Arabidopsis thaliana: one gene and its partners. The protein of the gene in region 1 purifies or fractionates together with the protein of each later gene. This does not show direct contact. Each region holds a gene or a part of one and is shown on either strand. Other genes may lie near its edges.

The links.
Region 2: the proteins of CRR41 (region 1) and CRR1 purify together in Arabidopsis thaliana (affinity purification with mass spectrometry, with the first as the bait; one study listed by BioGRID). This does not show direct contact.
Region 3: the proteins of CRR41 (region 1) and ndhJ purify together in Arabidopsis thaliana (affinity purification with mass spectrometry, with the first as the bait; one study listed by BioGRID). This does not show direct contact.
Region 4: the proteins of CRR41 (region 1) and ndhH purify together in Arabidopsis thaliana (affinity purification with mass spectrometry, with the first as the bait; one study listed by BioGRID). This does not show direct contact.

Annotation. Positions count from the first base shown.
Region 1 is NC_003070.9:18,930,479-18,938,412, reverse strand, and holds CRR41 (potassium/sodium hyperpolarization-activated cyclic nucleotide-gated channel protein), read right to left. Parts: upstream 4,115-7,934; 5' UTR 4,072-4,114; coding exon 3,436-4,071; 3' UTR 3,114-3,435; downstream 1-3,113. Other genes in the region: AT1G51120 (AP2/B3 transcription factor family protein), read right to left, coding at 1-322; AT1G51110 (Plastid-lipid associated protein PAP / fibrillin family protein), read right to left, coding at 929-1,001, 1,104-1,211, 1,295-1,374, 1,457-1,510, 1,598-1,690, 1,778-1,861, 1,944-2,135, 2,208-2,330 and 3 more; AT1G51090 (Heavy metal transport/detoxification superfamily protein), read right to left, coding at 4,666-5,087, 5,210-5,291, 5,417-5,428; AT1G51080 (golgin family A protein), read left to right, coding at 7,673-7,934. UniProt on the Arabidopsis thaliana protein: Required for both formation and activity of the chloroplast NAD(P)H dehydrogenase (NDH) complex of the photosynthetic electron transport chain.
Region 2 is NC_003076.8:21,165,555-21,174,844, forward strand, and holds CRR1 (Dihydrodipicolinate reductase, bacterial/plant), read left to right. Parts: upstream 1-4,493; 5' UTR 4,494-4,648; coding exon 4,649-4,753; intron 4,754-4,841; coding exon 4,842-4,964; intron 4,965-5,052; coding exon 5,053-5,127; intron 5,128-5,214; coding exon 5,215-5,280; intron 5,281-5,366; coding exon 5,367-5,462; exon of another isoform or gene 5,463-5,603; coding exon 5,604-5,720; intron 5,721-5,924; exon of another isoform or gene 5,925-5,937; coding exon 5,938-6,030; exon of another isoform or gene 6,031-6,073; intron 6,074-6,079; exon of another isoform or gene 6,080-6,121; coding exon 6,122-6,223; exon of another isoform or gene 6,224-6,347; coding exon 6,348-6,434; exon of another isoform or gene 6,435-6,520; coding exon 6,521-6,553; 3' UTR 6,554-6,604; coding exon of another isoform or gene 6,605-6,609; 3' UTR 6,610-6,792; downstream 6,793-9,290. Other genes in the region: AT5G52080 (F-box associated ubiquitination effector family protein), read left to right, coding at 1,689-1,796; AT5G52090 (P-loop containing nucleoside triphosphate hydrolases superfamily protein), read right to left, coding at 1,878-3,908; HCF208 (chaperone (DUF2930)), read right to left, coding at 6,605-6,609, 7,104-7,286, 7,422-7,575, 7,655-7,795, 7,881-7,952, 8,038-8,150, 8,240-8,399; AT5G52115 (ribonuclease H superfamily polynucleotidyl transferase), read left to right, coding at 8,767-8,780. UniProt on the Arabidopsis thaliana protein: Dihydrodipicolinate reductase (DHPR)-like protein that may not function as DHPR in lysine biosynthesis. Required for both formation and activity of the chloroplast NAD(P)H dehydrogenase (NDH) complex of the photosynthetic electron transport chain.
Region 3 is NC_000932.1:44,648-51,789, forward strand, and holds ndhJ (NADH dehydrogenase subunit J), read right to left. Parts: upstream 4,507-7,142; coding exon 4,030-4,506; downstream 1-4,029. Other genes in the region: rps4 (ribosomal protein S4), read right to left, coding at 576-1,181; ndhK (NADH dehydrogenase subunit K), read right to left, coding at 4,610-5,287; ndhC (NADH dehydrogenase subunit 3), read right to left, coding at 5,354-5,716. UniProt on the Arabidopsis thaliana protein: NDH shuttles electrons from NAD(P)H:plastoquinone, via FMN and iron-sulfur (Fe-S) centers, to quinones in the photosynthetic chain and possibly in a chloroplast respiratory chain.
Region 4 is NC_000932.1:121,453-127,031, reverse strand, and holds ndhH (NADH dehydrogenase subunit 7), read left to right. Parts: upstream 1-3,839; coding exon 3,840-5,021; downstream 5,022-5,579. Other genes in the region: rps15 (ribosomal protein S15), read left to right, coding at 3,470-3,736; ndhA (NADH dehydrogenase subunit 1), read left to right, coding at 5,023-5,575. UniProt on the Arabidopsis thaliana protein: NDH shuttles electrons from NAD(P)H:plastoquinone, via FMN and iron-sulfur (Fe-S) centers, to quinones in the photosynthetic chain and possibly in a chloroplast respiratory chain.

The DNA of each region.
Region 1 (7,934 bases):
TAAAATCAGACCAAGGGAAGTTCCGGTGCGAGTTAGCATCAAAGCTTCGAAGCTTAATCGATGCGCTATCGTAAGCAGCAGCGGCTTCATGAGCGGATTTGAAAGTTCCAAGCCAAATCCTTCGATGGTCTGCGTAAATCTGAGCACCCCAATGACCGTTCTGTTGCTGAACAACTCCTTTGAATTTCGTCGTGTTGGACAAGGCAGGTTTTGTGGTGGTCGTAACCTCAGTAGGTTTCATGCGTTTCGTGAGGCTCAAGACAGAGTCAGTTAAGCCTGAAGTCTCTGTCGTTGTCTTGGCTACATTGCTCATCTCGTCCATATCCATAACAAAAAAATACAAAAATCAAGAAAAGGACAAAAAAACAAGAAACAGAGGAAGAGAGAGAGATGTTCGCAGGGAACAAGCAAAATGAAAACAGAAGAGATTAGGAAGAGTATTTGAAGGAGAGATTTGAGGGAGTAAATCCTGGAAAATCAGTATTATGTTTCTCTGTTGGTTTTGTTAACAATGAATCTTTTAGAATGTTACAGTTTCCATGTTTTGTTTTGTTTTTCTAGTTTTCTCTCGGTGAAAAAATGGCAATTTACAGAGTAATTAATGCCACCAGAAGCTGTTAGTGGTAAGTTTCCTTTGTTAGTGAGATATTCGTATTTTCTTTGTAGAAAGAAATATTCAGTGAATTTGTTTAAGATTAAGACAAAAAGTAAAGTTTTCTTAATGTTAATTTTGTCTTAATTTAGACATTAGTAGCGAAAATTATATCATGTGGTTTCTTGTTTTTTCTGGTTCCTGTTACATCCAAAAAAACTAATGAACAGAGAAAATTTAAACTATCACCTTCCATTGTTGTAAAACATTTGACAGTTTCTTACATACTATTTTTTTTCATATGTTCAAATAAGAGGTTCTGATAGAACAATGCAGCTAAATTTCTCGGATGTGCACAAAGATAATGTTATCGAATCCTCGGCTTATCCTCATCTTCTCATCTGTGTACCTACAAACATTAAAGTAAGCATCTCTGTATTAGCAATTCAAATGCATTATTATATGTTGTGATTTGTGAAAGTAGTAGAAGAAGAAGATAGAGAGATCTTACAGAATTTTTAGCTCGATATTGTTTGTTATATCGACCGGATATCCAAATGCACCGCCTATAATTGCTGCGTCGTCCATCTTCAAGTCATATGTACTGCTTTCTGATTTTCTGCAAATCATTCATGAGACCAGTCAAGAAACAAGATCACAAAAAAGTTAGCAAAATGACTAATCTAAAAGACAGAGACTTACATGAATTTGCCTTTCATGGAGAATCTAAATGCCGGAATGATGTTAACTTCAAACTTTATCCTCCCATCCTTCTCAATGATCTGAATAAGATACTCGATTTCGCTAAACGAAGCCAGCTGAAGCAACAATAGACTACCTAAGACATTCTAATAAAATGTTTACCTGTCTTCCCATAAGACCATTTGCTGCATTTTCAATCCAACTATCTGTATACATCTGCAAACACAAAACCCGAAAAATCGCTTATCCAAACGAATATAAGTGCTTGTTCAAGACAAAAGCTAAAGTTATCAGAGAAGTGACCTGTGAACTCCAAATCATTTGCCAACTTCCTTCTAAAAGCTCATAATTATCTTCCGCGGAATTAGAATTAGACGCAAGAAACTCATCGATAGCCTGTGTTTATACTAAACGATCCATTGGTTCCATTTCAAACCGAAACTATCGATTGTTTTCAGATTTCTTGAAGGCATGACACATTACCTCAGCTACTCCTTTGTCTTGAGATATGGTGGCTAACAATTTCTGCCTAGGCACGGTTTCTTTCTGAAGAACAAACGTTGTTCCCTGCGCTACAAATATACAGCCTCATGGATAAAAATGCTATAAAGCTTTAATTTTCTTTTTGAGAATCAAGAAACTCATTTACCTTGTTTCCCCTAGAAATCCTAAGGTTACCTGAAGGCGACAAATAAGTAGTATCTAGCCAACCTTTTGCTTCATCACCAAGAAGTCTAAAAGGAACTGGATATGGAACTTTGAAAGGAAGGAACTTCAAATCAAAAGCGGCTCTATCAAAACGGAATAAAACTCGTTTCCCATCTTTGATCGACGCAACTGCCTGTAAAATGAAACAATTCAAAGTATAAACATCTCAGTCTTTTGATGCAAAGACTTTAGTGAAGAAACTCACCTCAACTTTCAGCTCTCCAATGAAATCAGAGAATTTAACAATGTTTGAAACACGAGGATCGTTTGTTGCCTTCAAGTATACATCTTGAAACACAGTGAACACATCAACTCCTGTAAATGTTCTCTGCAGAGACAAATCCTTCCATTGCTCTTCTTCTTACACACAAATTACAATCATCTAGAAAAAATGGAGATATGATGATGAATGTGTGAGAAGAACTGACTTGGATTGGAGATGCAGTTCCAGGTCTTGTGGTGAACATCAATCGCCAACGACCTTCGATTAGGTCAGAATCTGTCTAAACATTTAAACAACATTCCCCAAAAGACAACCAAATGAGTCAAAGAACAAAACATAACAGAATTTGGTAATTTGAAGATAAAAGGATTCACAAGAAAACATTTCATACAGGATTTTGAATGCCTTCTAAACCTTCAAGAACTTTCACAGCAGATTCAACATCCTACAACAGAGAATCTCTCAAATCATAAACACGACGGAAAATTAAAGAAAGTTTAAAGTTTTTACACACATTGAGCTGTTTAGGAGAAGCAGATTTGCCACGGCCTTGAATTCCGATCAAAGCGTCAATGAGTTTCAACTCAGCATCATTAAAAGACGATTGTTGAGTTTGGTCAGTGACAGTAGATGAAGATGAACAACTGATTCGCAGAGTTCTACAGTTTCTAGACAAACCTAGTCTCCTGCTTGTTGTGTTAAGAAGATTGAATCTCGGAGAACACAATGAAAGAGAAATCGGCGATGATGGGCATGGACATAAACATGGTAGCGACATCTCTACAGCGTAGAATCTGACTGCCACCATTGTTGCTGTCTACTGCTGCTTGTGAAGCTTTTGTTAAAATGATTAAACTTTGCATTTTTAATGTGTGGTGTACAATAAAGCTTGAGTCTTGGTGAAATATCTTGAAATATGAAACTAGTGGAAGTAAAATTTTCTCAACTAATTAAGTTTTTTCCTCCCAAAAACCCTTAAGCTTCCTCACAAATTGCAAAACCAAAAGCATGAATCTTTGTTTTGATTCTTCACATGAGACTCTCATCTTCAATCCTTCTTCTACCATTAAAGTAACAGATGAATGATCCAGAGATGATTACAGAACCAAAAAAATAAGATCTTTTACAGATGAAGAAGCTCTGTTTTGTGTAAAACTATAAACAAAATTCATAGACTTTTGACTCAATTTGCAAGTAGAAGAAGAAGGAATTAGAAAGAATTAGCAACAAGAATAGCTTGTCGACACCGAGCTCTAGCTTGTTCAATCCTCTGACTCAAAGTTTCATCTTTAACAGAAGCTTTAACCATAGCTAAATCCATCTCCATCAATTTCAAAACCCTAAAAAGCTCTGTAACCATTCTCTCTTCAACTTTACCTTCATCTCTCAAAACCTCAGCTTCTTCTCTAGCTCTCTCTGCAACAATCTCACCAGCTTTAGCTAAAAGCTCCTTTGATCCAAACTCTCTCGCCATTAAAGCTTCGAACTTTTCTAAGAAATCCATTATTACATAACCTTTAGGTTTCTCCAAGTTTATCTCTTTTGTTCTTTTCCAACCGATTTCGAAGTTTGGTGGCTCTGGTTTCTCGATTCCTCTTTGTGTTCTGTCTCGTATGATCTCTGATCTTCTTCGTTTCTCTATTGGGAATTTCTCTGCGCTTGTTGTGTTGATTGATTCAGGTGCTGGTGTGAGATTGATGAATTGATCCTTTGACTCTGGATTCGACGAACATTTTGTTGAGAACTTTGTTGTTCGACGAACGAAGCTATTGGTTCTTATTGGGACTGCGATGTGAAGATTCTTAGAGGAGAGAGATGGAAGAAGAAGTGTGGAAGTGGAAGCCATTGATTTAAAAAGCTTAGAGGAAGAGTGTTAAAGAGGGTTTTGAGAATTGGAGAAAGATAAGGCCTTCTCTGGAGTTACAGTACACTATAGCGTCGTTTAAGTGTTTCAGACAAGAACGTCACGTCGTTTTTAGTTTCCGTTTAAACGGTGTCGTGTGGAGGTGTAAGCACCACGGCTGCTCTTTTCACAGTAGAAAGAAACAGTGTCATCTGTGGATAAGTAAACTGTAAAAACATAATAGTTGAGTATTCATCGACTCATGTCACTCATTGGAGAGGCCGGTCTCAGAGTTTTTAGTTTCCATTCTTTCGTGCTAATATACTTTTATTTTCTAACAGAAACTATATTTTTATGCGAAAAATCTTACTATTTGTATTTTACTACCAAGAAAAGAAGAGCAAATAAAAGTTGTATTAGAACCAAAACGTGATATACACAAGAAACAAAACCCTGTAGTGTTTACATACATAAACGAGGACTCGAAATAGAAATACTGGTAAGACGAAGACAATTAAAAATAACTTCGTGTAGTTATTTATTTGCTGGTATATACTATAGTCTATATATGAGTAGGAGGAGACTTGGTTCAGTGTTTCACATGATGGAGCATCCTTGAGAGTTCATATCTTCGTGGCAACATTGTCGTCCACCTCCCCAGCTCTCGTAAACGGGCCTTCCATAACATTGGTACTGTTGGGCCTCGTAATACGGCCCACAATGATACGGCTGCCACATCGGCATCGGTTGAGGAGCGGAAGACGAAACAAGAACAGGAACCGGAGCCGGCCGAACAAGAGCTGGGGCTTGGGCTTGGGCTGGGGCTGGGGCTGGGGCAGTAGGCTTCTGAGGTGGTTGAGGCTGGGGTTGAGGCGGTTTGGGTGGCTCAAGGATCACGATGGACTTGATAGAACCGTCTCCTTTGTAGCAAAGTTTGTTCATTAGCCTCTCAGGATCGTAACAAACTACTTTGATGATGATCGTGTTGGACTTCTCATCAAACAATTCGTCTGTTATTTCTATTTTTTTTTGCAAAACAACACATACCACAAAATCGTATCCATTTATCAAGATTCAGAATCTTCTCAACCCGCAATAATTCAAATGAACAAAGAAACTCAAATTAAAGAAAGAAACTCACGAGGGAATTTGCGGATAGCTTTCTTGACCTTTTTGTAGCATTTGGAACAGTTTAGATCCACTTTCAATTTCATCATCACTACCTGTTTGTGCATATCATATAATTTCATGATCATTATTACCTTAATTAGTAACTCTATTAGAGGGTAATTATGGATATGATCAATAAAAGAGAAGTAATATGAAAATTCAGATCTTGGTAAAGTACCTTCTCCGCCATAGCTTGGGAGTCTTGCTTGAGTCACCAAACAAGTACAAGAACACAAGTATTTTATGTGTATTCCTTGCATGATTCAATATATATAGAAAGTGATATAAAGAGAGACTTAAAATGAGAACAAGAAAGAAAAAGTTTATTATTTCTTTCGGTTTTATCAAATGAAAATATCTAATTTTGTATCTAAAATGACGTGTATGAATTTATGAAACACGGTGTATCACACATAATTTCGAAGTTTCTGAAGGTGACGCCGACATCAATTACGCACACAGCTGAGAATTACCAAAACGGGCTCACATTAGTCAGTGCACGACCACAGTTCAAGTGCTTATAGTGGTCCAAGTTTTCTAATAATTTTGGGTTATTCTTCTGTGGTGCGAAATAATGAGCCGACATGGATGAAATGGTTGTAAAAGGACTGTCTGAATTTGATGTTTCCTTTAAGACTCTACCAATCAACTAAAAAAAATCAGTGACTCGTATTTGTATATCAAACAAGAAAAGAACAATAGGACGACAAATTGATAGAATCCAATTTTCTTATCTGAAAAAAATGAAGAGAAAATGTAATGCGAATCTTATAATCAATCGTGAGATCCGTCCTCAGATATTTCTGGATTTTACATGTCCTAATTCCTGATTTTTACTCTCATATTTTCTAACCTTATATTCCACTGGCGAAACTATAAGTAACATTGGAAAAGTGAGTAAATCCAAAACAAATGGATTCAAGTTCAAAATAGTTTAATCATGTATATATAAAAATAAGGTCTCATTTTTAACAACCAATTTTTCAAAAATAAAAATAGAATAATATTTATCTCCAATTAACCCACAAAAACAATAAATTTATTCACATTTATTAATCAACCATTGAATACTAAATTGTAACTATCATACTAATTGTGTATTAATTATATTCTTCTTCACTCATTGTCATTCAAACAAATTAGAATTGTAACTCATGTAATTTAGTTACATTTAAAAGGTAACTTCAATCACTTTTCATTATGTAAATAATCATTCTCTCTCATATTTTTCTACCATATCTCAAATCCTAAATATTTTCTTTGTTTTTATGTTGTTGTGTGGCTTGAAAAATCAACTGCGATTTCATTGAAAATGTTTGATTCTAAATTTATATGTTTAGAGACGATATGGTATATATATATATCTTAGCATGGTTACATATTGTGGTGGCTCTAACTCGTTGTTTGATCTTATGCATTTCTAAGATCTTAATCATATTTCATAGAGACACCAACCATTTGATGATATTACCATTTTATGTAGCATCAGTATCACAACTACAACAAAACCGCGTCGAAAGGTTTCTTTCAAGATATGTGTTACAGGCAGCAATATATAGTATCTGAAAAGAAATAGATGGGAGAAGACATGAAGGCAAGAAAAACTCAGTCATTACTCTAATCAGATGGACTGACAAGTAGATTTGAAACCAGTTCAAGTAGACAAACGGTACGACGAATGACACCAACTGTTATTCGGGTTAAGACTTTAAAGCTCTCGGCTCTTCCACTTTCTAATTACTTGAACTGTTTTAAATATTCATATATTCTCTACAAACCTTTGTATTTAATGTTCAAACGAATATTTTTCTTTTGAATACAATTTAACATTCTCTTCTAAAGAGATATTACCATTTTATGTAAGAAAAATTTCTATGTATGTCCATAGAGAAGCAAAAGAAACTTATTCTCCTTTCCAGTTTAATCAACTTCCCGTTGCCTACAACAAATAAGATTTTTTGGATACCAAAATAGACTAACATAATATATTATGGAGTTAAAGTCAATTTTTTAAGCTTTAGATTTGTTTTCTGATATTGCTTTTAAGAATATGTTTGTATGAATTTCAAAATCTCTGCAATATGTCTTGAATTTTGATTCTAATGATTTACTCATGAAACTCCAAAGAGATTTCATTTCAAATCAATTAATATACAAAGATTTTACAAGTCTTTTAGTTTTGAATAACATTGGATTTTAATGAAATATTTAAAATCTTAATTGAATAACACCAAACTTTAAAATCTATTAAACATGATTTACAAATATGAGTTCCAATAATACTAGATTTTAAAGCTAGATTTAGAATCATTAGTTGAATAACAGTAAATTAGTGTTGAATTTCAATTCTATTAAAATCCATTAACGAATAACACCCCCTAAATGTATTTTATAGGATTCAAGAAAAAATAGACAATATTTTGGGGACACAACAATGAGTTTCTCGGTGGTCTTGTTCCACAGTCCTCACTCTGCTGCAGTAACAACAAAAACCATCTTCAGAATCTCATCATCATCATCTTTCAGACCAAGAAGAAATCTTTCTTCATCTAATGGTATCTTCTCCACCAATCAGTCTAAACCCTTAATCAAAAAACTTCAAATCATCGAAACCCTAGCCGCCAGAGACACAATCATAGACTTCGGCAAACACAAGGGCAAAATGCTTGGTACTTTGCCTTCTTCTTATCTTAAAT
Region 2 (9,290 bases), on another chromosome or scaffold:
TCAACTAGGTCTGAGGCGGAGCTTCTGCTAGGAATCATGGTTTAGATGATGAAAATTTGAAGATACCTTCTTGCAGTATCTTCGAGATGGAAGCGGTGGAAGTCAATCGGATTTGCAATGGCGAACTTTGCAGAAGGAGTTTGGTGGTGGATTCGTGAAGTCAAAGGCGGAGTTTGCACCGGATCGTAGATCTTGGGTGGCACCGACCTTGTCTCTCTCTCCTCCTCGCGTATCAATATGTGTTGTACACGCGACACGTTAGTTTCTTAATCTTATCATATTTGATTTTTTTTTGCCGTTAAGGTTTATTATTTATTGCAAATTATGAGAATTGTTACATAGACGATTTTACAACGGACAATTCCTTCCAACCCTTATTAGATCCACGACAGCGACAACTCCTCTTCTTCTTCTCTATGCCTTTGATGGACACCTTCAATGATCTTCTCTGCTTAGAATCCTGACGAACGGCTATAATTGTGCATCGTTTGAGATCTCCTGCACACTTACCTCTATTAATCTGCAAATTTGCTAATAAATTGTATTATTTGGGATTCGAACCCCAGACCGTCATCTAGGCACATATCGCATATGTCCCCGGTGTCGGATGAAAGAGAGGCCATTAATCATGTCCTATTTGAGTTAGGCCTTCTCTGTTTGTGAACTTAGATTACCTTTTTGGAAAGCGAAGGAATTAAGAGGCCGCAAAGAGGTCATCCGGATCTTCTGTTGAATTATGTGGTTTATCAGAATGGCCCGTAACTCAAAGGTATTTGAGAACAAGGATACCCATCCTGCTAACACGTTTCAACATGCTTTGAAGGAAGCAGAATCTTTCCAAGTGGCATGAGCCCGCAAGAGGATCCTTTCTCCACATGCATGTATCCCATCATTCCATAGAGACACTCCCATTTGACACTCTAGTTTGCTAGGTACATGGATCTTGGGAGGATACTTGCACCTTAACAATATTGGTTGGATTGTCCATATTGGTTTAAAGAGCTTTCGCAGTTGACAAATATATCCAAAGACCTAATCATCAACAACATACCGAAACTCCAAACACCGATTTAAAATGTAAGAGCATATCAATACTGAAGAATGAGAAATTGTAAGATAAAATAGAAAAAGAAAATCATCTCATACCTCGTAGTAGTGGAATGATCAGCCAAAAGATGCAACTTGATGGTTGAGCAGAGAAAGAAAGGTAACCGATTGTGCGGTGAGGTCATAGACTCCAACTAGACAGAATTGGGATTCCAAAAGGACCCAGTGTGGCCGAGGAAAGCTCAGTAATCGCCAATGCATGTATTCAGTTACATCATTATATTGGTCTTTTCCAACTTGTTTGGTGTTTTAAACTTTTGTGTAATAAGACATCAAATATGTAAGGTAGAGAGACTAGAGAGAGTTGATCATGTAATTACCATAAACCCATGGAGGACTAACCGGAACGTACGTGAGAGAAACTTGTATATCTTCATATCTCTGGTAGGTACTACCGAACTGGTTAGGATTTTCACCCAATGTTGCTTCCTCTGATCGTTAGAGATCGAGTATTAGACTGTGGGCTTCCAACCTAAAACCAATTGGCAATAGGTGGAGAGGCTCATATCTTATATATACCACTTAAGATCCTACTCAACTTCCGATGTGGGACATTGTCCCTAATACGCCCCCTCGAGATGATGGCTCTTCTAGCCATTGATCTCGATATGTTTGGGCATGGATCGGCGGGCCAAGTATTGGGCCGAACCGATGTGGATCGGGTTGAGTATGTGCGGATCGGGCTCTGATACCATAAAACATCATAAAAATCCAATACAGAGTTTTGATAGGAAACACACAAAAACATAAGACAAGCTCACATAAAAAATCTACCAAACATTTCTTCTTCCATGGCCATTCCTAAGCGAAAGAGATCCAAGACTCGAAGACACATCCTCAAGCAAAGCTTCATTCATGGCATCTCTTAGATTCATCTCATCAGTAGCATCATGGAAACATCCACGTGTCCTAGACTCACTTATCAGTGTTGCCCAAATCGAACCACTTAGAGCCAAAGTTGTCTCGTTCCCAATCACCCATAAACAGTGTCTTGCTCGAGTCAGTGCCACGTTAGCTCTTTGACGGTTGTTAAGAAATCCGACTTTTCCATTACCGTTACTTCTAACGGTGGAGATGATGATAATGTCTTCTTCTCCTCCTTGAAAACCATCTACGGACCGAACATTCAAAGTGAATTGCTGACCTGATAAGGAACTGTACTTATCTCCGATTTTCTCTTGGATTGCTCTCATCTGTCCTTTGTAAGGTGAGACCACTCCGACACTCACCTTCATCCTCCTTTCACATGAAACTTTGTAAAGATTTGATATAATTTCAGAAATGACAGCAACTTCAACCATGTTTTTGGGACTATGTCCATCACCAAACTCTTCTTTTCCACGTCCAACATTGATAAAAGAAAATGAGTCAAACATGTTTCCTTTAAGAAACCTCTTTTGATAAATACTTTCTTTAACATTTTCAGCATCTTTGATTCTCCCACCATAAAACTCCTTGTTGGGGAAACGACTAATAGAAGGATGCATTCGATATTGAACATCAAGCAAGTGTTTGTTGTGACCAAGCAAAACCAATCTCTCAAACAAGCTTCTTCCGAATTTCGCCTTTTCACACATCTCATTATGAACCATTGCAGGCAATTGAAACTCATCTCCTATTAAAATGGCGTGACGCAGTCCCGGAAGTTGCAATGCAGCAACTGATTCACATTCCTTAAGCTGAGCCGCCTCATCAACCACAAGCAGTTCTACATTTCCTGTCCTTTCCACGTTCATTTCCGCAGCACCCGAGGCTGTGCAGAGGATAATATCCGCGTTTTGAAGACAAAATTTCCTAATATCTTCGTTTTCTAACATGTCTGGAATCTCAAAACGTTTTGGAAGTAAGCGTAGAGCCTTGAGGCAATCATCACTGAGTCTTTTGAAGCAATCAAATCTGAAATTTCCTTCCTCGAAATCAACCCTAGAAGAATTCTCCCTCAAGAAATATCTGATACGCTGAAGAGTTTGACGAGAAGCAATCATTTTCTTCACATCTTCATATGGAAGGTAAACCTTGGGAAGATGTGTATACAAATCAACGATGCATGTCTTCACTTCTTCACTTAAGCTATTAAAATTCTTCTGAACGAATTCTCCAAAAGTAGGAATGTTAACAACAACTTCTTCCCTTTCATCTTCTTCATTCATTCTTTCAACTTCTTCTAACTCGTAGACATGTCTCTCATACTTTCCCTCGGGGTTTTCAAGAAACTGTATCAGTGACTCTAATCTCTGCATCCATCCAGAAAATGGTGAAAACAGTTTACCAAGCTTACCAATACGCTCATCAAGAAACACATCGAGAAGAACATGATCGTTCTTGTTAATCCCCATTCTGTCCCGGTTTCCGGATAAAATGATATTCCCTAGCCTGTAAGTAGCATTTTCCGCTGTCGAGTTTTCCTTAAATAAGGATAAGAGCCTTGATGTAACTTGTACAATAGCTGTGTTTGTAGGAGCACACACAACTGTCTTGCACCTTAGTTTGAGAAGGGCAAAGAGAAGAGTCGCGACCGTCTTTGTTTTGCCTGTTCTAGGAGGTCCCCATATCAGTTTCACACTGTTCTTATGGGTACAGTTTCTTGTCTCAAGGCAGCCCAAGATTGCATCCTCTTGGGAAGAGTTCAATTTCGTTGAACGGATTATATCCAAAACAAGGTCAGATCTCCCATCATTTTCAGAACAAAAACATTGTTCTGTACCCTCAGTATTAGCCTGAAGCACACTCTTGGTTAGAGTCGATATGTCAGCTTCGTTGTGCAAAGCATTCCAAATTCGAGTGTTTGTTGTTAAAGTCATTAGAAAAACACCGAAGCTATAGTTCTCAAGAGGTGATATCGATCTAGACAAATGAACAGAGATTTTAAGATTTTAAGATCACCTCTATAGTTCTCAAGAGGTGATATCGATATTAGACTGTGGGCTTCCAACCTAAAACCAATTGGCAATAGGTGGAGAGGCGCATATCTTATATATACCACTTAAGATCCTACTCAACTTCCGATGTGGGACATTGTCCCTAATATCGAGAACTCTGATCGCCTGAAACCGAGAATCTGATTCTGGACTATGGAAAGTTTTGAAATTTGGCCGGAAAATTGAAACCCTAAATTTTTTTTGTTTTGAGAGAGAAAACCCCTAAAAACCCAAGCTCTGTTTGGTGTATCTCTTTCTTGGGAAACAAGTTCTTTTATTGCATTTTTTTTCCCTATCCTCGTATTTTCCATACAAAATCAATGTTAAATTTTAAGTTTCAATTTTGTCCGCAAATTAGAAAACTTGGCAAAGTAACCTTCTTAGTGTAAAATTTTTAGAATGCCCTCAACCAAATTTTAAAGTGTTTAAAAAAAAAAAATTAAAGTGTTTAAAAAAAAAAAAAAAACACGAAGAGCCAAGTAACCTTATCCATTCATACGCCTCAAACAGAGACGACAGCGTTTGAAGTAGAAGACAAAGGACAGTGCAAGAATCTCTTATCAACATGAGAAAACCATCAAGCAAAAAAAAGAAACACAAAAGCTATCTCCGAGGTTAGAGCAATGGCAGCTGTGAACTGCCATTTCTTCCAGCTATCACGACATCTCAAACCTTCTAGGCCTTCTTTTTCCTGCTCTGCTTCTCAACCTTCACAAAACAACATTAAGGTAATCACATCACCATCAACATCATCAGAATCAGGAGTTTCCAGACAATGCAGCTTTGATATGATAATGCTTCTAATTTCCCTATTAGGTAATCATAAATGGAGCTGCTAAGGAAATAGGTAGAGCGGCTGTGGTGGCTGTGACTAAGGCTAGGGGAATGGAGTTAGCTGGTGCTGTCGATAATCATTTTGTTGGCGAAGATATTGGCTTGGTGACTTAGCTTAAAACCCATCTGTATACTATTCCAACTGGTTGGTTTATCTATTGATTGACTCCCTAACTCTAATGTTCTTGCATAGCTGTGTGACATGGAGGAGCCTTTAGAGATACCTGTAGTGAGTGATCTAACAATGGTGTTAGGCTCAATATCTCAGGTGCCATTATTTTCTTAACCCTCCCTGTCTCTCTGTTCTCACCAGATTTAAATTCTACGGAACAACCTAAACGAATGTCTTTAGTAGGGAAAAGAAGTCGGAGTTGTGATCGACTTTACAGACCCATCAACAGTGTATGAGAATGTAAAACAGGTAACCAATTAACTTCTCTTTTTGTCAAGCTCATATCCAGTAATATGGAAACTATCACTGTGTTAATGATTTCTGAATCTATCAAGGCAACGGCATTTGGGATGAAGAGTGTGGTGTATGTACCTCGGATTAAGCCAGAGACAGTATCTGCGTTGTCTGCACTATGTGACAAGGCCACCATGGTGAGCACAGGGTGAGATGAGATACTCGCAGATTATTCATTACGTTCCCTTTCTTTGTGAGGTCGAGTCTGTCCTGAAGCAACAATTGTTAGACGAGAGATGGTTCACTAAAATCTAATTTCGTCTCTGCTTGCGTTATAGGGATGTCTTGTAGCACCAACTCTATCCATAGGATCTATACTTCTCCAACAGGCTGTGATCATGGCCTCCTTCCACTACAACAATGTAGAGCTAGTGGAGTCAAGGCCTAATGCAGCGGTATGCCATAAACAAAAAAAAAACAATTTTAATTTCCTAGAATTCTGGGTTTTAACTTTGACACTTGTGGAATGTTGATCAAGACTAATTAAGGCATATAATACTTCAAAGAGGCTAGTTAAGAAAGAACAATATAGAGCTTTTTCATATAGAGCGCATATGCAGCTTTTGACATTGAATCACAAGAAGTGACTTAAACGATACCTATGAAATGCAGGATCTTCCTTCTCCTGAAGCTATCCAAATTGCAAACAACATATCAAATCTTGGTCAGATCTACAACAGAGAGGATAGTTCAACTGATGTTCAGGTAAAGCATGAATAAGCTTGCAGATATGGACCAGTTAGGGATCCTGTACATATTATACATAAACAAAGCTGAGTTTTCCACATATTTCCAGGCAAGAGGTCAAGTAATCGGAGAAGACGGGGTTCGTGTTCACAGTATGGTTCTACCAGGACTACCATCTAGTACACAAGTCTACTTCTCAAGTCCAGGAGACGTAATTAATAATACTTGACCTCTTGTTAGATCACTCAAAATCAAACTGAAAATTGGATACTCTATTTTAAAATTTAGGCTACATAGCTCATTAAAATTCTTCTGATACAAAATGCTGTCCACAGGTTTACACTGTTAAACATGACATAATTGACGTAAGGTCCCTAATGCCCGGCCTACTCCTAGCAATCAGAAAGGTGGTACGCCTCAAGGTAACATGGAAACAAGCAAGAATTCTCCATCCATTAATCTCTTACTGTTATCTAATCACTTGCCATTATTCTCTTTGGTTTTCCAGAATCTGGTTTATGGCCTCGAGAAATTTCTGTAGGAACTGAAGTGTTTCACCAGTCAAAGATAACATCATCATGAACAGCTCATGTCATCCTGCAAGACATATGAAGTTAGGAAATAGGTTGATATTTTCTTTCATCATGATACGAGTGTTCAATATTTAAGGTGAGAACACTAACAACGTCGAACAGTATCCCAAGGATTTCATATTAAACAACTACTACATTACTAATAGATTTACGGCCTGGAAAATAAGATGTTCAATGCTTTTGGTTACTGATATTTTGAAGTTTAGGTTCACAAGTAAGCTTGTATATTACCAGTGCTACGTAGTCATCCACAAGTAACATGACATTCAGAAGTCTTATTACTAAATCAGCAAAGAAAGTAAACAGTTGGCTTTGGTCCAATTAACGTTCTATGAAATGTACAAATTCCTCCCATATTCAGATGGAACAGCGACGAAGCATAATTACCAAGATGAAAAGTCTGTCAAAGTTGAGACTGCACAATTTTAACTTCAACGAAGCCCACCAAAACAGAACAAAATAAGCAACAAATCCTTTAATCCATGGGAACAATCTAACCTCTGAATTTCTCAGCCATAGCTCCAATCCAGGCTCTATCTTTATCGCTATATGCATATCCAGCAGTAGAGGCCACCAGCAAAAACCCATTCACTTTCTGCGGTTCATTTGTATTTTGTACGAGAGGTTGCACAAAAAGAGAACGCGTCCCATCAGGAAGTATATCCAAAGATAGTGCAGAACCTAAAATAAAACTGAAAGTTAACATATATTTCAACACCATAGAAACAAAAGAGTAATATTCCATGCATTCAGGTATACAATAGATCGACAATGCTGAACAAATTCAAGACCGTGCGATTGAAGAAAACACAATACCTGCATACTGAGGGAAATAAAGGGTCTCCTTCACATCAGCCAAGCCAATCTCATCCACTTTTTTCTTAAACCAATCATGAAGTTGAGCCTTTGACATTTGATCTGGACAATTCCAGTACCCGCGAACACAAAGCTCGCCTTGAACCGATATCAACTGAACAAAATACAATCTTTCTCAACTAAGGAACATATCAAAGATCAAACAAACCCTTATCCAAGAGAGTACACCATACCACAGCTATAGTACTTGTATTCCTCAACAAAACATACGTTGCCCATGCTAAATCCTCTTTCAAAGAATCTCCAATATTTGATGATATCACAAAAACCTGCTCTCCTTCTTCAGGGAGACTTCTCTGCTCCACTACAGAACCCTAAACACACAACCAAACAACACCAAATAAGTGAACAACAACAACAAAAGTTTTTCTTCACAGAATCTAAAAGTTATGAATTTACCTTAAGGAATTTTCCAATGTAAGGTAAAGCTATTGAAAATGCAGCTAGTGATAAACCCAAAGCCTCTGATCTCTATCACCAAAAAATTCACAAAAAATGCTAAAGTTCATAGCTTTAAATAGCAAAAACACTGTGAAGCGAAATTGTTACTAATTACCATTTGAGATTCACTGATTGGAGCAGAAGCTGAGAAGTGGTTAAGAAGAAGAAGTGATCCAAAGCCGTACCCGATCCATCTCGGTAGATAAGATTCGTCAAACCCAGGAATTCCTACAGACGCAGACACAAATCAATTTCAAATCTTTCTCGAAAATAGTTGGGAAAAATCTGAGCTTTGAAGTGGGGAAGGAAGAAAATACCAAAAGTGAAGCGAAGAACAGAGAGATTGAGTTGTTGATCAGATGTCTTTGATTGTGGAGAATCGTTCTCTGTACGAGCGAAGATTCGTGTTGACCTTTGGGCGCGAGGTTGTAGCGCGAATTTAGGATGGAACGGGAAATTACAAATTTGAATACTCATCTCTCTCTCTTTCAGATGTCTTCGAGTCGAATAGTTTCTGTATCCGCCATTGATGATTTCTCGAAGAACCTCTCTGCTCAGTAAGATAGAGGCCCATTAAGAGCAGGCCCAGTTGTTAACGTCTCCAATTATTAAGTTAATTTTCAAACCAAAATTGTTACTTTTGTAACTGATTTTGAAAATTTCACAAACATTTTATGTAATTTATTTACAAAACGGGATTGCTAAATTTTCCCGCCATCTCTAATGTTTTGTGTTTAAGAAATCAAAGTTCAATAGTTCCACAAAATGCAATGTTTTAAGAAATTATGGAATCATGTAAATATTTCGAGAATCTAGAACTATTATTATTGTTTTTACACTAATTATGTATATAAAAAGGTTAGAACATATGATGAGAAAAAATGTTTCTTAGGATAGGATATATGATCAACACATGAATCTGTAGGTTGTAAGACTTTTTTTTTATAAATCATATATATGAAAGGAGGTTAACTCTCTCCCACAACTTGACACATCAGCACATAAGAGCTTGCCACCTAGACTTCATAAAATAAGTAATACAGAATTAGTAATTAATTCAACATAACAACTAAAATAGGAGGATATAATTAATCAGAACTTGAACCATCACTCTTTCTACATTTTTTTAATTCAATATATCCTCTTTAATTTTAAGATCCACTTAAGTGGCTAAAGTGATCATAAAATCCAAACATGCTATACATATTCTTTGCCTAAAAATTAGACGATTATTATGTAAGAAACTAAATAAATATGCAGATTAAATATATCTAAGCTTTTCGAGATTTATACTAAGAAAACAAGTAATTTGAAAGATGTTTGAGGAGTTATCCTTATAACTAATACGTAAGATATAAGATTATGACA
Region 3 (7,142 bases), on another chromosome or scaffold:
AAATTTTCTCACAAACAAAGGAATTGTATAGTACGAACTAACATAAAAGCGGACTCATTAAAAAAAACCTTCTATCTACTTCCAAATTTTCCGGTCAAAAAGGGTATCTATTAACCATAATCTAAAAAACGATGAATAACTCGCTATTCACCCAGATACTCAGTCATAATCTTGATGTCGGAGAGATGGCCGAGTGGTTGAAGGCGTAACATTGGAACTGTTATGTAGACTTTTGTTTACCGAGGGTTCGAATCCCTCTCTTTCCGTACTTTCAACAAATTCACCAATCTTACGTGATTGACCACAATGTATCAAATCCAATAAAAAAGAATCGATATAAGATCTACCTTGTTTTGATTTTGAAATAGATTCTCTATTCCTAATTTCTTTCATATGGAAAATGCTGGGAAGAGCAAACAAGGGATCCCAATCTCCCTACCAATCTATGATACATGAATAGGAAAAATATTCTTTGACAAAATCCCTTACCTTGTGCCTTTTTATTTTTAATGGAAAAGGGGAGTTGTCCGAACTCTTGTTTTTAGTAATTTTTTTTTTTACTTAAGTTAGGTTTATTAAGTCTGTCGAGAGTAATATTCTACGACAAGCAATTCATTTATTTTCAAACCGACGCATTTCCTATCTATTATTTGATTGACTAACCCTTCATATTGGAATGTGTGAAGAGTCAGATGGTTTGGCAATTCCTCAGGGGCAGATGAATCAAGAAGATTTTGAACCAAAGTTCTAGAGTTTTGTTCATCCTTCACTGTAATAATATCTCGGGGTTTGCAGCGATAACTTGGTATATCAACTATACGACCATTAACTAAAATATGTCCATGATTAACTAATTGGCGCGCTTGAGGAATAGTCAAAGCCATACCCAATCGAAAAAGGATGTTATCCAAACGCATTTCAAGTAATTGTAGTAAAACTTGACCTGTTGACCCCTTGGCTTTTCCGGCTATACGCACATATTTAAGTAATTGGTGTTCTGTAAGACCATAATGAAAACGCAATTTTTGTTTTTCTTCTAAACGAATACGATATTGAGATTTTTTTACGGAGCGTGATTGGTTTCTAAGATCGCTTCCTGCCTTAGGCCTTTTACTAGTTAGTCCCGGTAAAGCCCCCAGACGGCGTATTTTTTTAAAACGAGGCCCTCGGTAACGTGACATAAAGACTCCTTTTTTGATTGAAATTGTACAAAACTAAATAAAATTAAAACTGAACTAAATGATAATGATAAATGACGTGAAATACACTCCACTATTGGAATACAAAGAGTAAGAAGATATATTCTCTCAATATACAGATTTTTTTTATTGTATATACAATATATATAAATCAACTAAATCACAAAAATTTTCCTTTATTTTCTTGATTAATTTTGCAAAGATCAAACTCTTTTACCCAATATATATTCCTAATATGGAAGTTTATATGACATAATATAAATGGAGTGGTAACTCTTGGAAAAAGGTCAAAGAAGTCTTTTCAATCTTCTTTGATTTTGAAAGTACATTAAAAATCATGTAAAAAAAAACGAAAAAATATGGAAAAGCCGGCTATCGGAATCGAACCGATGACCATCGCATTACAAATGCGATGCTCTAACCTCTGAGCTAAGCGGGCTCAAATAAAATAGCGCATGCATACAAATTCACTAAACTACTAGATCGTATCAATTAACTATTCTATTAATATTTTTCCTTATCTAGTTAGAATTAATGATATTCTATATATTCTAGAACAGAATATAGCTCACATAAATAGTGACTATCATTCATCATTAAATAAATAAAACATAACCTTAATTCTATATATATATCTATATAGTCATAGAATAGTATAGAATTATTAGAATTTCAAATTTACGAAGTAGACTTATAATTTTTTTCCATTGCACATTGTAGAATTCTAAGTTTCAATAATAATAATAATAAATTTCTTTTCATGAAAGTAAAAAAAAAAAAAAGAATCGACCGTTCGACTATTTCTGAAAATTTAAGCCAAAGATGAAAAAAAAAAGAACATATATATGTTATGTAATATATAACCATATTGAATTGCAAATACAAAAATGATAGAATCTTTGTTGATTAGACTAAATCAATATGGATGGAGCTCAAAAAAATAAAAGAAGATAACAAAGACATAAAATAAGTATCTATAATGTAATGAATCCCGAGGTTTCGGCATAAGAAAAAAAAGGAAAGACATCATAATGAGATCCTAAAAAAGGGGATATGGCGGAATTGGTAGACGCTACGGACTTAATTGGATTGAGCCTTGGTATGGAAACCTACTAAGTGATAACTTTCAAATTCAGAGAAACCCTGGAATTAACAATGGGCAATCCTGAGCCAAATCCTGGTTTACGCGAACAAACCGGAGTTTACAAAGCGCGAAAAAAGGGATAGGTGCAGAGACTCAATGGAAGCTGTTCTAACAAATGGAGTTCACTACCTTGTGTTCATAAAGGAATCCTTCGATCGAAACTTCAAATCAAAAAGGATGAAGGATAAAAACCTATATTGTATAAATTTAGGTAACACAAAACGATCTCAAAAATGACGACCTGAATCTCGATTTCTATTTTTTTATAAACAAAATCAAAATGTTGTGAATCAATTCGAAGTTTAAGAAATAATATTTCTTGATTAAAATAAAATTATTCACTTCATAGTCTGATAGATCCTTGATGGAACTTAATTAATCGGACGAGAATAAAGATAGAGTCCCATTTTACATGTCAATACTGACAACAATGAAATTTATAGTAAGATGAAAATCCGTTGACTTTTAAAATCGTGAGGGTTCAAGTCCCTCTATCCCCAGCTCTACTCCCCGAAAAGGTTGACACCTTACCTTTTTTTCGTTATTATTTATTTGAATTATTTATAATCTATATCATTTTTCATTTTCAAACTTAGAAAGTCTTCTTTTATTTATAAAATCCAAGAAATTCCCGGTCCACAACTTTTTGAATTTACTACTTTTGAGTTTCTTTTCATTGACATAGACCTAAGTCATATATTAAAATGATACTGATACTTCAGTAGATTATACTTCGGTAATGGTACACATAGCTTAATTGCGGGGGACTGAAAATCCTTGTGTCACCATTAGTAAAAGCAAGATGATCCTTCGGTAATGGTCGACATAGCTTAGTTGCAGAGGACTGAAAATCCTTATGTCACCATTAGTAGAGGACTGAAAATCCTTATGTCACCATTAGTAAAAGCAAGATGATACTTCAGTAGATGATACCTCAGTAATGGTCGGCATAGCTTAATTGCGGGGGACTTAAAATCCCTGTGTCACATGATAATGATCCTTCAGTAAAGGTAGACATAGCTTTTTTGCAGAGGACTCGAAATCCTCGTGTCACCATTAGGAAAACGAGCATGATACTTCAGTAGATGATACTTGATACTTCAGTAGACTAATGGTGGACATAGCTTTTTTCCGGGGGACTTGAAATCGTTGTGCCACCATTCGTAAAACGAGGATGATCCTTCGCCGGGATAGCTCAGTTGGTAGAGCAGAGGACTGAAAATCCTCGTGTCACCAGTTCAAATCTGGTTCTTGGCAGAGGATTTATTAATTTTGATAAGTTTTTATTCTTCAAATTAAACGTATCTTTAGTAAAAAAAGTGCAATTATGCTTTATCCCCTCTCTTTTTTTTGTTCATGTTGTGAATCCAGCCGTTCAAAAAGAATGTATAATACTTGATACATAATACATATCCGAAAGGAAAGGTTAAATGAGTTCCGTTGAATCAAACAAGTAAAAAAAGGTCTATATGTATAGTATACTATAGTTGAAGGGCAAAAATACCCCAAGGTTCATTAGATACAATAGAAATAGAATTGTATCCCCCCCTTCATTTATTGCTTTCCGATCTTATTTATTCATTCCCAGTTATGTGACTAAAGTTGACTAAGTTATGTGCGCGATACAAAGTTCATAATGCAGAACTCTTTTTTTTTAGTTCATCCTATTGGCTCATTTTTTATCATTCAATAAGCATCTTGTATTTCATAAAAATTGGGGGCAATATAATCCTTACGTAAAGGCCACCCTATCCAACTCTCGGGCATTAGGATCCGTTTCAGTCGTGGATGGCTATCATAAGTGATTCCTAACATATCATAAGATTCCCGTTCTTGAAAATCCGTACTTTTCCAAACCCAGAAAACGGATGGAATTCTAGGATTACTCCTGTGAGTAAATACTTTTATGCAGACTTCTTCCGCTTGATTAACACCATATTCTATTCTCGTAAGATGATACACGCTGGCTAAGAGGCCACCTGGTGCCACATCATAGGCACATTGCGAACGTAAATAATTGTAACCATATACATATAAAATTACAGCAATAGAATGCCAATCTTCGGGCTTTATTTGTAAAGTCTCTATTCCTTGATAATCGAAGCCCAACGATCTATGAACCAGCCCGCGTTTGGCTAGCCAAACGGACAAAGTGCCCTGCATCTTTTTTATTTCCCCCACACCTTTTTTATATAAAATTAAGTATTTCACATTTACCGTTAATTCTAATTTATGAAGATTTTTTTCTGATTCTCTAAAAGCCTCCCTAATTCACTAATTCGTGGGACGATACTGGACTTTTGTATTTAAAAAATGTTTCAGTAGAGATCTCTGAAGTAGATGATGGTGGATAGAGTAGTTCTTGATCATAATTTCCAATATGCGGACTGCGTACAACAAAAAACTTGTGATTGGTAGTAAAACACCGATTACCCTGTTGAGGTCTAATTCGATCCTTATAGATTTCTCTAGCTATTTTCTTACGAAGCTTTGTTATAGCGTCTATAACAGCCTCTGGTTTAGGTGGACAACCCGGCAAATAGACATCTACAGGAATTAGCTTATCAACTCCTCGAACAGTACTATAAGAATCGGTACTGAACATCCCCCCTGTAATTGTACAGGCTCCCATAGCAATAACATACTTCGGTTCAGGCATTTGTTCATATAATCGCACTAAAGAAGGAGCCATTTTCATTGTTACTGTACCTGCTGTTAAAATAAGGTCCGCCTGTCTAGGACTCGATCTTGGTACTAACCCATAACGATCAAAGTCAAATCGGGAGCCTATTAATGAGGCAAATTCAATGAAACAACAACTGGTACCATAAAGAAGCGGCCATAGGCTGGAAAGTCTTGACCAATTTGAAAGATCATTTAACGTAGTTGAAATAACGGAATTTTTTGTTGTTCGATCAAGTATGGGAAACTTAATGGAATTCATAATTGTTTCAATGGTTTTTTTTACTTTTTTTTTTTTTATTATTGTATCAAGTATTCGGTAAACGAACTAAGACCATTCCAATGCTCCTTTTCGCCATGCATAAACTAAACCAAGAATTAGGATAAGCACGAAAATGAAAGCTTCTATAAAAGCAGATACCCCCAGTACATCGAAACTCATTGCCCACGGATACAGAAAAACAGTTTCAACATCAAAAACAACAAAAACTAGAGCAAACATATAATAACGGATTCTAAATTGTAACCAAGCATCCCCGATCGGTTCTATACCTGATTCATAACTAGAAAGTTTCTCCGGCCCCTTCCTAATTGGAGATAAAACTCCGGAAATTAGAAATGCCAAAACAGGAATAGCACTTGATATTAGTAAAAATGCCCAGAAAATATCATATTCGTAAAGCAGAAACATAGACGAACTCCTATGAATGTGGAAAAAATACCCGCTTAGTCAATTCCAATCGGAGTGGATTGGGCAAGGGATATAGAACTCTTGAGTCAAAACAAAAATTCAGGTTAATCGAATCATTTTTTTTCGTTTGGTTGTTGTGGTAGACGTCTCGTTTTAAGATTTATTGATTTCTTATTTTCAGTACACTTATTACTTAATAGTTCCATGTTTCTATTACTAATAGTTTCTAATATAATAATATAATATTAATCTGATTAATAACTAGTAATTTTTTTTATTTCTGTTTATGTTTAAAAAAATTTTTCGAAAAATCTCTTCGTTTTTTAAATGATGACGTATCAAAAAATCCAGTAAGACTTTACCATACTCATCTTACTTAGTATTAGATAGATTGAATTTTGGTTGAATTTAATTAGATTTCTTTTTTTATTTTTAAACAAGGCCGTGTGATAAAAAAAGTAACCAAGATTGAGTGGGGATACAAAAAAAAAAAGAAAGTATTATGAACTTTTTGATTGTAGCTAGTGAACGAGGAAAATTCATATAAAAAAATTACAACTATGAAAATTAATGAAGAAAAAGGTTTATTCTAAATTATAAATTAAGTATCTATCTCGATATATCGATAGATAGTGATTGGCTCCATTGAAATAAAATGAAATTTTCCGTTTTATTCTGAACGATCCCCAGGACTTATGGTTTATGATATGGAAATTTTTTTTATGAACCGAGCAATTAAAAGTAACCTGTTAGAAATAAAGAATACAAAAAAAAGTAAAAAAATTTATCCAATTATTTTGATTTTAATGTGATTTTTTAGAATAAATTTCTTAGTTAGGGCTATACGGACTCGAACCGTAGACCTGCTCGGTAAAAGAGTTCGAACTTATTATTATCAAAATGATTCGAACTCTTTCAAAGACCCAACATGCATTTTTTTTTGCATTGGGCTCTTTCATTAACTGATCGAAAGATCAGTTAGTCTACCATATTTTTTCTTAAAAAAAAGATAAGAAATGGTTCCAAGTACTCTGATTGATTATTTTTGAATTCTAATACAATACAGAAGAACTACCAAAGTGTTTCAAAGAAGGGTTCTCTTGACGTAGGTTTGCTTTTGGTCTAGATCAACTTAAGTTAAATATAGTCTCTAACATCCTGATTAAAAAATCAAACATGAAACTTGATACACCTTAAGGTTCATAGGACGAAAAGATCATTTTTGAGTTCCTTATACTCATTCTACCTAGCATTGAGTAGACTGGGTATTCACCCTATCAATATCTCAAATCAATGATGGGTTCTATTCATTCCCTACCTAACGGGGTACTTTAATAGGACCTAATGTCAGGCTGTTGTTCTCCTCTTTTTTCCTAAAAAAAAGTCATGGAGTAAGACATCGATTTCTTAATAAGATCAATCAATT
Region 4 (5,579 bases), on another chromosome or scaffold:
AAAAAAAATTGATAAAAAAGAAGAAGAACAATCAAAAAGAGAAGAAACAAGACGGATAGAAATTGCAGAAACTTGGGATAGCTTCCTATTTGCTCAAATAATAAGAGGTTCTCTCTTAGTAACTCAATCAATTCTTAGAAAATATATTATATTACCTTTATTGATAATAATTAAAAACAGTGTCCGTATGTTATTATTTCAATTTCCCGAGTGGTCCCAGGATTTAAAGGATTGGAAACGTGAAATGCATGTTAAATGTACTTATAATGGGGTTCAACTATCCGAAACAGAATTTCCAAGAAACTGGTTAACGGATGGTATTCAGATAAAAATCCTATTTCCTTTTTATCTTAAACCTTGGCATAAATCTAAATTTCAAGCATCTCAGAAGGCTCGACTAAAAAAAACAAAAGACAAAGGAGAAAAAAATGATTTTTGTTTCTTAACAGTTTGGGGAATGGAAACCGAACTACCGTTTGGTTCTGCCCAAAGAAAGCCTTCTTTTTTTGAACCTATTTCTAAAGAATTAAAAAAAAGAATCAAAAAATTAAAAAAAAAGTCTTTTGTGGTTTTAAAGATTTTCAAAGAAAGAGCACCCATTTTCCTAAAAGTCGCAAAAGAAACTAAAAACTGGATTCTCAAAAACTTTATTTTTATAAAAGGAATTTCAAAACGAAATCTAATTCCATTATTTGGCCCGAGAGAAATATATGAATTAAATGAACCTAAAAAAGATTCAATAATAAGTAATCAGATGATTCATGAACTATCTGTTCAAAATAAATCCTTGGAGTGGACAAATTCTTCACTTAGCGAAAAAAAAATCAAAAATTTGATTGATAGAAAAAAGACAATCAGAAATCAAATAGAAGAAATTTCAAAAGAAAAACAAAACTTAACTAATAGTTGTACCAAACTGCGTTATGATTCTAAAATAATTGAGTCATCAAAAAAAATTTGGCAGACATTCAAAAGAAAAAATACCCGATTAATTCGTAAATCCATTTTTTTTTTTAAATTTTGCATCGAACAAATGTCTATAGCTATTTTTCTAGGTATCATTAATATTCCAAGAATTACTACACAACTTTTTTTTGAATCAACAAAAAAAATTCTTGATAAATATATTTACAAGAATGAAGAAAATGGAGAAAAAAAAAAAAATACTCTTTATTTTATTTCGACTATAAAAAATTTAATATCCAATAAAAAAAAAATGAGTTATGACCTATGCTCTTTATCACAAGCATATGTATTTTACAAATTATCACAAATTAAAGTTAGTAACTTTTGTAAATTAAAGGCTGTTCTTGAATATAACATATGCATAACATCCTTTTTTGTTAAGAATAAAATAAAGGTTTTTTTTCAAGAACACGGAATCTTTCATTATGAATTGAAAAATAAAACCTTTTTGAATTCCGAAGTAAATCAATGGAAAAACTGGTTACGAAGTCAGTATCAATACAATTTACCCCAGATTTCATGGGCTAGATTAGTAACCCAAAATTGGAAAAATAAAATAAATAAAGATTCTCTAGTTCTAAACCCAAGTTTAACCAAAGAGGATTCATATGAAAAAAAGAAATTTGATAATTATAAAAAACAAAAATTTTTTGAGGCCGACTCATTATTAAATCCAAAACATAATGTAAAAAAAGATTCTATATATAATCTTTTTTGCTATAAATCTATTCATTCTACAGAAAAAAATTTTGACATGTCTATAGGCATTGCCCTAGATAATTGTTTAGTCTCTTCTTTTCTAGAAAAATATAATATTCGGGGTATGGGGGAAATTCGGCATAGAAAATATTTGGATTGGAGAATTCTTAACTTTTGGTTTACAAAAAAAGTAACTATTGAGCCTTGGGTTGATACTAAGAGTAAAAAAAAATATATTAATACTAAAGTTCAGAATTATCAAAAAATTGATAAAATAACGCAGACGGATCTTGCTAATAAAAAAAGAAACTTTTTTGATTGGATGGGAATGAATGAAGAAATACTAAATCAGCGTATAACAAATTTTGAATTTTTTTTCTTTCCGGAATTTTTCTTATTTTCTAGTACATATAAAATGAAACCATGGGTCATACCAATCAAATTACTTCTTTTAAATTTTAATGAAAACATAAATGTTAATAAAAAGATCATTCGAAAGAAAAAAGGTTTTATACCATCAAATGAAAAAGAATCCCTTCGATTTTATAATCTGAATAAAGAAGAAAAAGAATCGGCCGGTCAAGTAGAACTTGAATCAGATAAAGAAACAAAAAGAAATCCCGAAGCAGCTCGATTAAACCAAGAAAAAAATATTGAAGAAAATTTTGCAGAATCAACAATAAAAAAACGTAAAAATAAAAAACAATACAAAAGTAATACAGAAGCGGAACTTGATTTATTTCTGACAAGATATTCGCGTTTTCAATTGCGATGGAATTGTTTTTTTAATCAAAAAATTCTCAATAATGTAAAAGTATACTGTCTCTTGGTTAGACTAAACAATCCAAACGAAATAGCGGTATCTTCTATTGAAAGAGGAGAGATGAGCCTAGACATTCTAATGATTGAGAAAAATTTCACTTTTGCAAAATTAATGAAAAAAGGAATATTGATTATTGAACCTGTGCGTTTGTCTGTACAAAACGATGGACAACTTATTATATATAGAACCATAGGTATTTCATTGGTTCATAAAAATAAACACAAAATAAGTAAAAGATACAAAAAAAAAAGCTATATTAATAAAAAATTTTTTGAAAAATCCATTACAAAATATCAAAACAAAACTGTAAATAAAAAAAAAAATAATTATGATTTCTTTGTCCCTGAAAAAATTCTATCCCCTAAACGACGTAGAGAATTTCGAATTCTAATTTGTTTCAACTTAAAAAAAAAAAATGCTAGGGATACAAATTCAAGATTTGATAAGAATATTCAAAACTTGACCACCGTTTTGCATAAAAAGAAAGATCTTGATCTTGATAAGGATAAAAATAACTTAATTAATTTAAAATCCTTTCTTTGGCCCAATTTTAAATTAGAAGATTTAGCTTGTATGAATCGCTATTGGTTTAATACTACTAACGGAAATCATTTCAGTATGATAAGAATACGCATGTATACGCGATTTCCAATTCCTTAATCATAAATACTTTTTACTATATATAATAAGTTACGGTATATGAAAACAACTATATGCACAAATATGAGGGATTGTTTTAAATTAAATCTTTATACATGAGATTAATTTAATCAATCACATAGATACCAATTATAGCGGATTCATAAATAAATTAACAGAATCCTTCTTTTTGAGATCTAAATTTAGATTTTTTTCTAAAATGAAGAATTAAGAGGTTGATAATTAAATTAAGATCCTTGTACAAAAAAACTACCATTATTATTACTGATCAGTAAAATTAATATCTTTCAATTCATATTAAAAGGGGAAGGATTTCTTTTTATGATAAAAAATATAGTCATTTCATTTGAAGAACAAAAAGAAGAAAGCAGGGGATCCGTTGAATTTCAAGTATTTAGTTTCACTAATAAGATACGAAGACTTACTTCACATTTGGAATTGCACAGAAAAGATTATTTATCTCAGCGGGGTCTACGAAAAATTCTGGGAAAACGTCAACGACTGCTGGCTTATTTGTCAAAAAAAAATAGAGTACGTTATAAAGAATTAATTAATCAGTTGAATATTCGGGAATTAAAAACTCGTTAAATTCAAAAATTGTGAATTAGTGAATTTTTTAGATCTTGAATTTTTTGATAAACTTCTTTATTCAGAAATCTAATTCATGCCAGAACGAATCAAGGAAAAACTTATGAAGAGACCAGTTACAGGAAAAGATCTTATGATAGTCAATATGGGACCTCACCACCCATCCATGCATGGTGTTCTTCGCTTAATTGTTACTCTAGATGGTGAGGATGTTGTTGACTGTGAACCCATATTAGGTTATTTACACAGAGGAATGGAAAAAATTGCAGAAAACCGAGCAATTATACAATATTTACCGTATGTAACGCGATGGGATTATTTAGCTACTATGTTTACAGAAGCAATAACAGTAAATGGACCAGAACAATTGGGAAATATTCAAGTTCCTAAAAGGGCCAGCTATATCAGAGTAATTATGCTGGAATTGAGTCGTATAGCTTCTCATCTGTTATGGCTCGGCCCTTTTATGGCAGATATTGGTGCACAGACTCCCTTTTTCTATATTTTCAGAGAACGAGAATTTGTATATGATCTATTCGAAGCTGCCACCGGTATGAGAATGATGCATAATTTTTTTCGTATTGGAGGAATAGCGGCTGATTTACCTTATGGTTGGATAGATAAATGCTTGGATTTTTGTGATTATTTTTTAACAGAGGTTGTTGAATATCAAAAACTCATTACACGAAATCCTATTTTTTTAGAACGGGTTGAAGGAGTTGGGATTATTGGTGGGGAAGAAGCAATAAATTGGGGTTTATCCGGACCAATGCTACGCGCATCCGGAATACCATGGGATCTTCGTAAAATTGATCGTTATGAGTCTTACGATGAATTTGAATGGGAAATTCAATGGCAAAAACAAGGAGATTCATTAGCTCGTTATTTAGTACGACTTAGCGAAATGACAGAATCCATAAAAATTATTCAACAGGCTCTGGAAGGACTTCCAGGGGGTCCCTATGAGAATTTAGAAAGCAGGGGCTTTGATAGAAAAAGGAATCCAGAATGGAATGATTTTGAATATCGATTCATTAGTAAAAAACCTTCTCCTACTTTTGAATTATCAAAACAAGAACTTTATGTAAGAGTTGAAGCTCCAAAAGGGGAGTTGGGAATTTTTCTCATAGGAGATCAAAGCGGTTTTCCTTGGAGATGGAAAATACGACCACCGGGTTTTATTAATTTGCAAATTCTTCCTGAACTAGTTAAAAGAATGAAATTGGCTGATATTATGACGATACTCGGTAGCATAGATATAATTATGGGAGAAGTTGATCGTTAAAATGATAATTTATGCAACAGCAGTCCAAACTATAAATTCTTTTGTTAAATTGGAATCTTTAAAAGAGGTCTATGGACTCATATGGATATTTGTCCCTATATTTTCTCTTGTATTGGGAATCATAACAGGTGTACTAGTAATTGTGTGGTTAGAAAGAGAAATATCTGCAGGGATACAACAACGTATTGGACCTGAATACGCCGGCCCGTTGGGAATTCTTCAAGCTCTAGCCGATGGGACAAAACTACTTTTCAAAGAAAATCTTCGTCCATCTAGAGGAAATACTCCTTTATTTAGTATTGGACCATCTATAGCAGTTATCTCTATTTTACTAAGTTATTCAGTAATTCCCTTTAGCAATCACCTTGTTTTAGCGGATCTCAATATCGGTATTTTTTTATGGATTGCCATCTCAAGTATTGCTCCTATTGGACTTCTTATGTCAGGATATGGATCAAATAATAAATATTCTTTTTTAGGTGGTCTGCGAGCTGCTGCCCAATCGATTAGTTATGAAATACCATTAACTCTATGTGTTTTATCAATATCTCTACGTGC